2 linked regions of the Rattus norvegicus genome follow. The protein of the gene in region 1 interacts with the protein of each later gene in a biochemical or structural test. Links are inferred from orthologs where the notes say so. Each region holds a gene or a part of one and is shown in the gene's direction. Other genes may lie near its edges.

What was found. The genes of interacting proteins can lie anywhere in the genome.
Region 2: the proteins of Amfr (region 1) and Bag6 form a complex in vitro, tested with the Homo sapiens proteins (2 studies listed by BioGRID, with this or other methods). The link is inferred for Rattus norvegicus from reciprocal best matches to the Homo sapiens genes AMFR and BAG6.

Annotation. Positions count from the first base shown.
Region 1 is NC_086037.1:11,001,076-11,005,389, forward strand, and holds the start of Amfr (autocrine motility factor receptor), read left to right. Parts: upstream 1-1,375; 5' UTR 1,376-1,605; coding exon 1,606-1,860; intron 1,861-2,306; exon of another isoform or gene 2,307-2,594; intron 2,595-4,314. UniProt on the Homo sapiens protein: E3 ubiquitin-protein ligase that mediates the polyubiquitination of lysine and cysteine residues on target proteins, such as CD3D, CYP3A4, CFTR, INSIG1, SOAT2/ACAT2 and APOB for proteasomal degradation.
Region 2 is NC_086038.1:3,679,982-3,683,349, reverse strand, and holds the end of Bag6 (large proline-rich protein BAG6), read left to right. Parts: exon of another isoform or gene 1-22; coding exon 23-192; exon of another isoform or gene 193-362; coding exon 363-416; exon of another isoform or gene 417-536; coding exon 537-639; exon of another isoform or gene 640-726; coding exon 727-851; exon of another isoform or gene 852-1,003; coding exon 1,004-1,150; exon of another isoform or gene 1,151-1,256; coding exon 1,257-1,316; exon of another isoform or gene 1,317-1,419; coding exon 1,420-1,563; exon of another isoform or gene 1,564-1,639; coding exon 1,640-1,747; exon of another isoform or gene 1,748-2,152; coding exon 2,153-2,299; exon of another isoform or gene 2,300-2,576; coding exon 2,577-2,672; 3' UTR 2,673-2,743; downstream 2,744-3,368. UniProt on the Homo sapiens protein: ATP-independent molecular chaperone preventing the aggregation of misfolded and hydrophobic patches-containing proteins.

The DNA of each region.
Region 1 (4,314 bases):
CATTCCTTCAGAATAAAGATGTCCAGTATTTGGGCAGTAGTGTTAAGGCTTGGTGTTTTATTTTTGCATTTAGTTATGCATGAGGGAGACACAGATAAAGAAGTCCGAGGACTTGGGGGAGTTAGGAGAATCAAACTCAGGTCGTCCCCTGAGCCATCTTGCAAATGACTGGGGAGCAAACCAAAGGGAACTCTATCGTATAAAGACCCATGATGGGTGTTTTTAAGAATTATAACAAAGTGATTAATTTTCAGATTAAAAAAAAAACTACAGAAATATTTGGCTTGAAAAAATAGACAGTTTATCCCCTTTAGAAAATTCAACAACTGTTTACAGAGCATACATTCTGAGGTAGGCACTAACACACGGCTTGGGAATATGATTAAAAAGTGTACCCTATGTTATTTTATGTAATTCACATATAGAGATGTAACTTGCTGGTTATAGTGTACAATTCTGTGACTTCGAGTGTATTCATAGTTGTATAACAACAGTTTTAGAATATTCTCACGTCAGGAAACTAGTACCCCAACCTCACCTCCAGTAGAAGGGGACTAATACTCCACACTCCATGCATTTGCCTTTATCGTCGGGATAGAATTTAGCTCTGTGTGGCTTGACTCAGGCATCTTCAACGTTCACTGATTTTGTGGCATGTGTCTGTACTTTATTTTCAAACACTATATTCCACTGGAGTTTCCTCCCTCTGGGTTATTAGGAAACATGCTACTGTCAACCTCTATGTAGAGACTGTGTGGGTATATGTTTTCGTTTCTCTTGTATGTTTTTTTAACAAGCAGTGAAACTGCCAGGACAAACGGTCACCCCTTGGTTTATCTTTTAGGAACAGGTATTTTCCAAGAAGCTCAGCAACATTTGACATTCTCACCTGTGGTGAAAGAGGGAACAGATTTTCATTTCCTGTTAAATTGGTTACTCCGTTTAAAAAATATTCTATCTCCGGGCTTCTGTTTTAAAAACATTCTATCGCAAGGCTTCTGTTACTTCCTAAGCATCATGTCTCCTCTTTAGGACACAAGGAAGCCTCTAGTCCACAGGGTGGTGGGATGGAGGGTTTACCTGCTTTGCCAGGGAAGAGCAACGGACCGGTGTCCTGCCGCCTGACCACGCTCACAGGCCTGCCGTCATTGCCCACAGGCCCGGCTCACCCTAGAGCCGGGCTCCGGCGCGCCCGTGGCGTCAGTGGGCCCAGGGTCGCCAGGGATGCTGCAGGGGACCCGGACGCGGGGCCCTAGGTCGGGTCTTGTGCATTTGGGGCTGCTGCGCGCCCGCTGTGGGCGGGGGACGAAGGCCGCGCCCCCGCGCCCGTCCCGCCCGCGACCCGCTAGGGGCGGTGGCCCGCCCCGAGTCCGCCGAGGCTCTTCCGCGCCGGCAGGGGCAGCAGCGGGAGCGGCGCGGGGCGGAGCGGCGCGAGCAGCCAGGAGCGGCCCGGCCCGGCCCGGCGCGGCGGCGGCGGCAGCGGCAGCGGCGGCGGCAGCGGCGGCGGCAGCGACGCCAGAGCCCGTGGGCGCCGTTCTCGAGGCCGCCGCAGGCGCCTGGCCGCAGCGCGGGGAGCCTCGGGCGCCGGAGCCCGCCGCCGCCGCCATGCCGCTGCTCTTCCTCGAGCGCTTCCCGTGGCCCAGCCTCCGCACTTACACGGGCCTCAGCGGCCTGGCCTTGCTGGGCACCATCGTCAGCGCCTACCGCGCCCTCAGCCAGCCCGAGGACGGGTCGGGCGAGCCGGAGCCGCTAACGGCCCCACTGCAGCCCGAGGCGCTCGCGCCGGCGCGCCTGACCCCCGGCGGCCCCCGGGTCCGCGACGTGGCCCAGTACCTGCTGTCGGACAGCCTGTTCGTGTGGGTGAGCGAGGCTGCGGGCCGGGCGCGGGGGCGGGCGGGAGCCGCCATGTCACCCATTATCCGCAGGGGGGCGTGGCCGGGCCCTGACCCCGACTGAGGCTAGACTGGCCCTCGCGTGGGGCTCGAGGCCGAGCGGCGCTGCGAGCGTGGCGGGCCGCGTAGTGAAGGTGTCCGGCTGCGAAGAACAGCCGAGGCAAGGGCGGTGGGGCCCGCGGACTCCAGGGCGGCGGGGCGCAGCGACCCGAGGCAGTGAGGAGCCCGGACAAGTCGGGTCCAGCTCGGCGTCGTTGGGGGAGGATTGCGGATGAAGAGGGGGCCCAGAGTTAGGGGGGACATTTTACTCTTCACAAAACAACTTCGAAATGTTGCTATTTGGCAATGGATTAGCTCCGGTGGACGCTAAGCAAACAGACCAGCAACATCCTTTTTTTCTTTTTCACGACGGTTCGTGTCTGTTCCCTTTTGACAGAAGGCAGCAAAACATTCGGATTGGTGTGGCAGCTCTTCCTTTGCGATCCATTTTAAAACAAGGGTTCTGGTTTGTCTGCCGGTGCGAGATAAGCAACGTTCACATGGCACAAGTACTGGCTTCGTTTATTACATCATTTTAGGCTGGGCAGATCTGAGAAAATTTTGCTCTCACCTTGCACTTGAGTGCCTCTTCTACGAAACCCTCAGAAATATGAAAAGTTGCTCCAGGATTTAAAAATTATCACTTGGATTTCCTACGGCTTGGTGGGTTCTCGTCCCCTTGCTCGGCTTCTAGAGTAGGCTGCAAATGACTGAGGGGTTAATGTTCCAAGTTTGTAGAACTAAACGCATCTCATTTGTTGTAATTATTCCCACTGTGCTTCATCAGGAAGCAATGGGATTTGTGAAAATCGTGGGCTGTAGATTAGGCCTCCTGGTCCTTTGGTACATAGTTTATAGAAGGCAGTGAAGGGTGAAGTTCCCCTTTCTCTACTCCTGTGAAAAGACGAACTGTTCATCTTTAGGATAAGAAACTTAGAATTGTGCCTTTCACAAGGGTGAAGACTATACTGTAGGTAGTCTTTGATACCTTGTTTTAAGCCTGAGAGAACAGGAACCATTATTTGTATTAATGAAACAGTCAGTAGTATTGTTTAATGATTTTTTTCCCGTAAGTTTCTTCTTGCAAAACCCATGTTCAAATTCCAAGGTTAATACCTCTCCATAAAACATTAATCTAAGGCCTTTTGGTTTTTTTCTGAGAATTGTCGTTTTTAAGAAACGTTCTCTTTCTTTATACATTCTTCCCTCGTGCAGGTTAATTCCCTCCTTTGAATCCTTGTTCCCCAGTTCTCCATTCGGTTTCCTTCCATCTCCTCTGTGGAGTTTCGGCATGCTTATGTTGGTTGCACAGTGTCTGCCCAGATCTGTCTTGGATGTGCTGTGACCATTGTTTTTCCTTTAGTGTTTACTTTGTGCTCTAACAGCTTCAGCACTCAAAAGGCTTTCCCTGGGCCTGGCAGGAACATTGAGTGACAGTGTGGTGGGCCTTTGTCAAAATGGATGCTTCTTGAGCCCCACCCATAAGCCTTGGACATTAACCACCCCCCCATGACCCCCATAAACACAAACCATTGTCTGCCAACGTCAAGCAAGATAGACAAGAACCTGTCCTTTGTGAGTTGCCAGTGGCAAATCTTACTAGTTGTTCGACTCTCTAGAGCTTGTCTTTGTAGAACACATTGCAGTAGTATCTCGGGAGGGTTGGGATTAGCACAGGCAGAAACAGACCCTTCAGAGGTGCCATTTGCAGCACTCTGGAAGACACAGCTGCCAACAGCACTTCCCCTACCCTTAAATGACTCATATGCAAATAAGGCAAATAAGGCAGCTTATGATAGGTGAACACATAGACACATAGAACACATAGACCCGGTGGGGTTTCTAGGTAGGAGTGCTGTGTGGGGAAGGACCGACTACAGCTTTTCTGGCTTAGAAGGAGACCAGAGGTAAGAGGAGTTGACCCAGTGAGAGACAGGAGGTGAGAAGCCTTTGCGGCTCCCTCTCTCCAGGTGTGGCGCTCAGGCTGACTTGTTGCTTATGACAGCCATCTTTGGTTTGCCACTCCTCTGCCACATGGAGTGAGAAAAGTAGTTGGAATTTCAGAACTGGTTCGGTTAGTTCTAAACTTAAAACTTTTTAGACAGATCCTACAAGTTCATGTTTCAAAGGTCAAAGTAAACAAAGGTGACAGACAGGGAAAGGGAATCTCTGCTCCTTGCACCTGCTTCCCTTTCCGTCTTGTAATTGATGCTGGCCTTAACACAGCCGGTGTCTCAAGTCCTTTACCCAGTTCATTTCTGTGGCTTACGCGTGTATGCATGTGAGCATGCTCTGTTTCACACCTACACCTGCTTTTTATTCTCTCCGAGCTGGATGCTTCTTTGAACTTTTATCTGAAGTTACCTTGACATATCGGTATGTA
Region 2 (3,368 bases), on another chromosome or scaffold:
TCACTTCTGCCCCTTTCCCTAGGATTCTTTGGAGCTCTGCTCTCTCTTCTGTGCCAGAATTTCTCCATGGTGGATGTGGTGATGCTTCTCCATGGCCATTTCCAGCCACTACAGCGGCTCCAGCCACAGCTACGATCTTTCTTCCACCAGCACTACCTGGGTGGCCAGGAGCCCACGTCCAGCAACATCCGGGTGAGTGAAAGCCCAGACCCAGGGGTTTCCTCCTTCCCACCTTTATTTACTCTTGCCTCCTGCCTGTCAGTCAGTGTTAGCTGTGCTTCAGCTCAAGCCTTGCAGTTGTAGGGTAGGAGTGAGGCTCTTGAAGGCTGTGGGCTAAAGCTGACCTGTGATGCTCCCTACAGATGGCAACCCACACGTTGATCACGGGGCTGGAAGAGTATGTACGGGAGAGTTTCGTAAGTGTCCTGTGTGTGTGTCCTTCCTGTGTTTGGGTAGGGAAGCGGGGGTGTCCCTGCTGCCTCTGCCTTTTAGATCTTAAGGTACTGAGTTGGAGTTCTTGGTGTGTCTTGTCTCAGTCTTTGGTGCAGGTTCAGCCAGGTGTGGATATCATCCGGACAAATTTAGAATTTCTCCAGGAGCAATTTAACAGCATTGCTGCTCACGTGCTGCACTGTACAGGTCAGGCTGGGGGCCAGCCAAGCCTAGGTAGTTCACTGTCCATGCAGGACTGCCCGAATCACGTGCCCTCTCCCATCCTCCCTGCAGACAGTGGATTTGGAGCCCGGCTGCTGGAGCTATGTAACCAGGGCCTGTTTGAATGCTTGGCCCTGAACCTGCACTGCTTGGGGGGCCAGCAAATGGAGCTTGCTGCTGTCATCAATGGCCGAATTGTAAGTACCACCCAATTCTAGGTCTCCAGCTTTTTTATTATATCCTGTGGGTTTTAATTTTCTTCTCCAAACACTCTACCTGTTGCCCTGGATGTAATAGATTGCAAAAGCAGGTTGAGAGTTATGTGGTCAATCTGCTTTCTGGCCCTCAGCGCCGCATGTCTCGTGGGGTGAATCCATCCTTGGTGAGCTGGCTGACAACTATGATGGGACTCAGGCTTCAGGTGGTCTTAGAGCACATGCCCGTGGGTCCCGACGCCATCCTCAGATATGTGCGCAGGATTGGTGATCCTCCTCAGGTGAGGGACCGGATAGTGGGTGGTGTTGGGATGTGAAGAAACTGAAGAGATGGACTGGACTGACCCTTCCACCACACCCCTTATATTTCCTTGACCAATTTCACAGGCACTTCCTGAAGAGCCAATGGAAGTTCAGGGAGCAGAAAGAACTTCCCCTGAGCCTCAGGTACTGCTTGAGAAGGCAAATAATGTGGAGTAGATAGCTGGAAGCAGAGGGGCTTGGGGCAAAGAGTTCTGAAGTCTGGGCCTTCCTGTTCCATGCCTTCCAGAGAGAGGATGCTTCCCCAGCCCCCGGAACAACAGCAGAAGAAGCCATGTCCCGAGGTCCACCCCCTGCTCCTGAAGGAGGTTCCCGAGACGAACAGGATGGAGCTTCAGCCGATGCAGAGCCCTGGGCAGCTGCAGTCCCCCCTGTAAGTGGCAGGATGGTATCCAGTGGGTTCAAGAGCTGTAAGTTGTGGGAATTATGTCAAATCCTCTCCTCCCCAGGAATGGGTACCTATTATCCAGCAGGACATTCAGAGCCAGCGGAAGGTGAAACCTCAGCCGCCCCTGAGTGATGCCTACCTCAGTGGCATGCCTGCCAAGAGACGAAAGGTTGGTCTCTGCTGAGGATGTGTCTCTGTCAAGCACCCTTGTTGAGCTAGAAGCTTTTGCTTGTAGTTCAGTCTCTTCATCTAGTTAGAAAGCCTGTTTGTGAGTCAGGCTTGTTCAGGATTGGTACATTGGTACATGGTACATACTGTTTTCTGGCAGTTCTGGTTCCTCAGCTGTGTCATCTCCCAGGTGATTAGGTGTGTAAGGTGGACTTTGTCTTGGAGAGTAGCTAGCTCTGAATCCCAGGTGCTTTGACCTGCTGGTGCCTTCTTTGCTGTCAGAACCATGTGCAGGCTGTTCCCTGCCCTCTACTAGTCTACACTGGTTAACTGATGGAAAGGGTGAACTGGGTGGTGGCACTGGGTCTGATGTTGATCCCCTTTTCCCTCTCAACCTGTCCCCCAGACAATGCAGGGTGAGGGCCCCCAGCTGCTACTCTCAGAGGCAGTGAGCCGGGCAGCTAAGGCAGCCGGAGCTCGGCCCCTGACAAGCCCCGAGAGCCTGAGCCGGGACCTGGAGGCACCAGAGGTTCAGGAGAGCTACAGGCAGCAGGTGCCCCCACTTTGCAGCAGAATAGGGATGGTCTATTGGGAGGGGTTGGGCCAGGTTCCTGCTTCCTTGGATCTATTCAGAGATGATTTGGTAGTGTGGGGGCTGCCCATTGATGGTCAGGGTTTTTTCCTTGTGGCATTTGGGAAGGCTTAGCAATCTCATACTGGGCTTGCCAGCGTGGCTGGTGGGGAAAGTATTTAAGGGTTAGGGTCTTTGTGCTTTCTGGGATCATAGGTCTAAATCGGGCTCCTGACAGGCTTGTGTTTTCTCTTTGTAGCTCCGGTCTGATATTCAAAAACGACTGCAGGAAGATCCCAACTACAGCCCCCAGCGCTTCCCTAATGCCCACCGGGCATTTGCTGATGACCCCTAGCTTTCTCACCAGGGGACCATTTCCCCCCTTCCTTCACAGTATTTAAGAAATAAAAGTCGGATTTTCCTGGCTCCTTTTGTCTGGTAGTGTTGAGTACCTTTTTACACATTTAAACCTAGCTTCGGAGACCCCCCCCCCAAAAAAAAAAAAAAAAAAAACTGACCCACCTAGCTCCACATACGTATCATCCTCTCCTTATGGAGTGTATACAGCCTGTTTAGAGCTTTTATATAAAACCGGTATTTAAATACTCAAGTTCTCAGTTGAAGCAGCTTCATGGCACCCATGAGCCTCTGCTGCCCGATTCCAGCCCTCAGAGCCCTTTGCAATCTGACCTGATAACCAAGTTCCGTGTCAAAGAAAGTCAGGAACATGGGAGGCCATGTGACACTAAGGTGATTTCAATGCAATGGCCTCACAGCACGTGGCGATATTTAGAGAATGCCACTAGGGGGTGGGGCTTGGAGGTTCAGAAGCCAAGTCAGTTGACCCAGACATACAAAGCTTGGCTCCTCTAGTACATGCTGAAGGACGAGACCTCTCAACTTGTAAGCCAGTCCCAATTAAATGTTTGAGTGGCTGTCTTCACCACACTAGAAACCCAAGCTAGGTCATTATTCCTGAGATAGACCTTGGAGAAATGTGCACTTTGGTTTAGGAAAGCAGCTGAATGCATTGTGATTGAATGGGCCACGC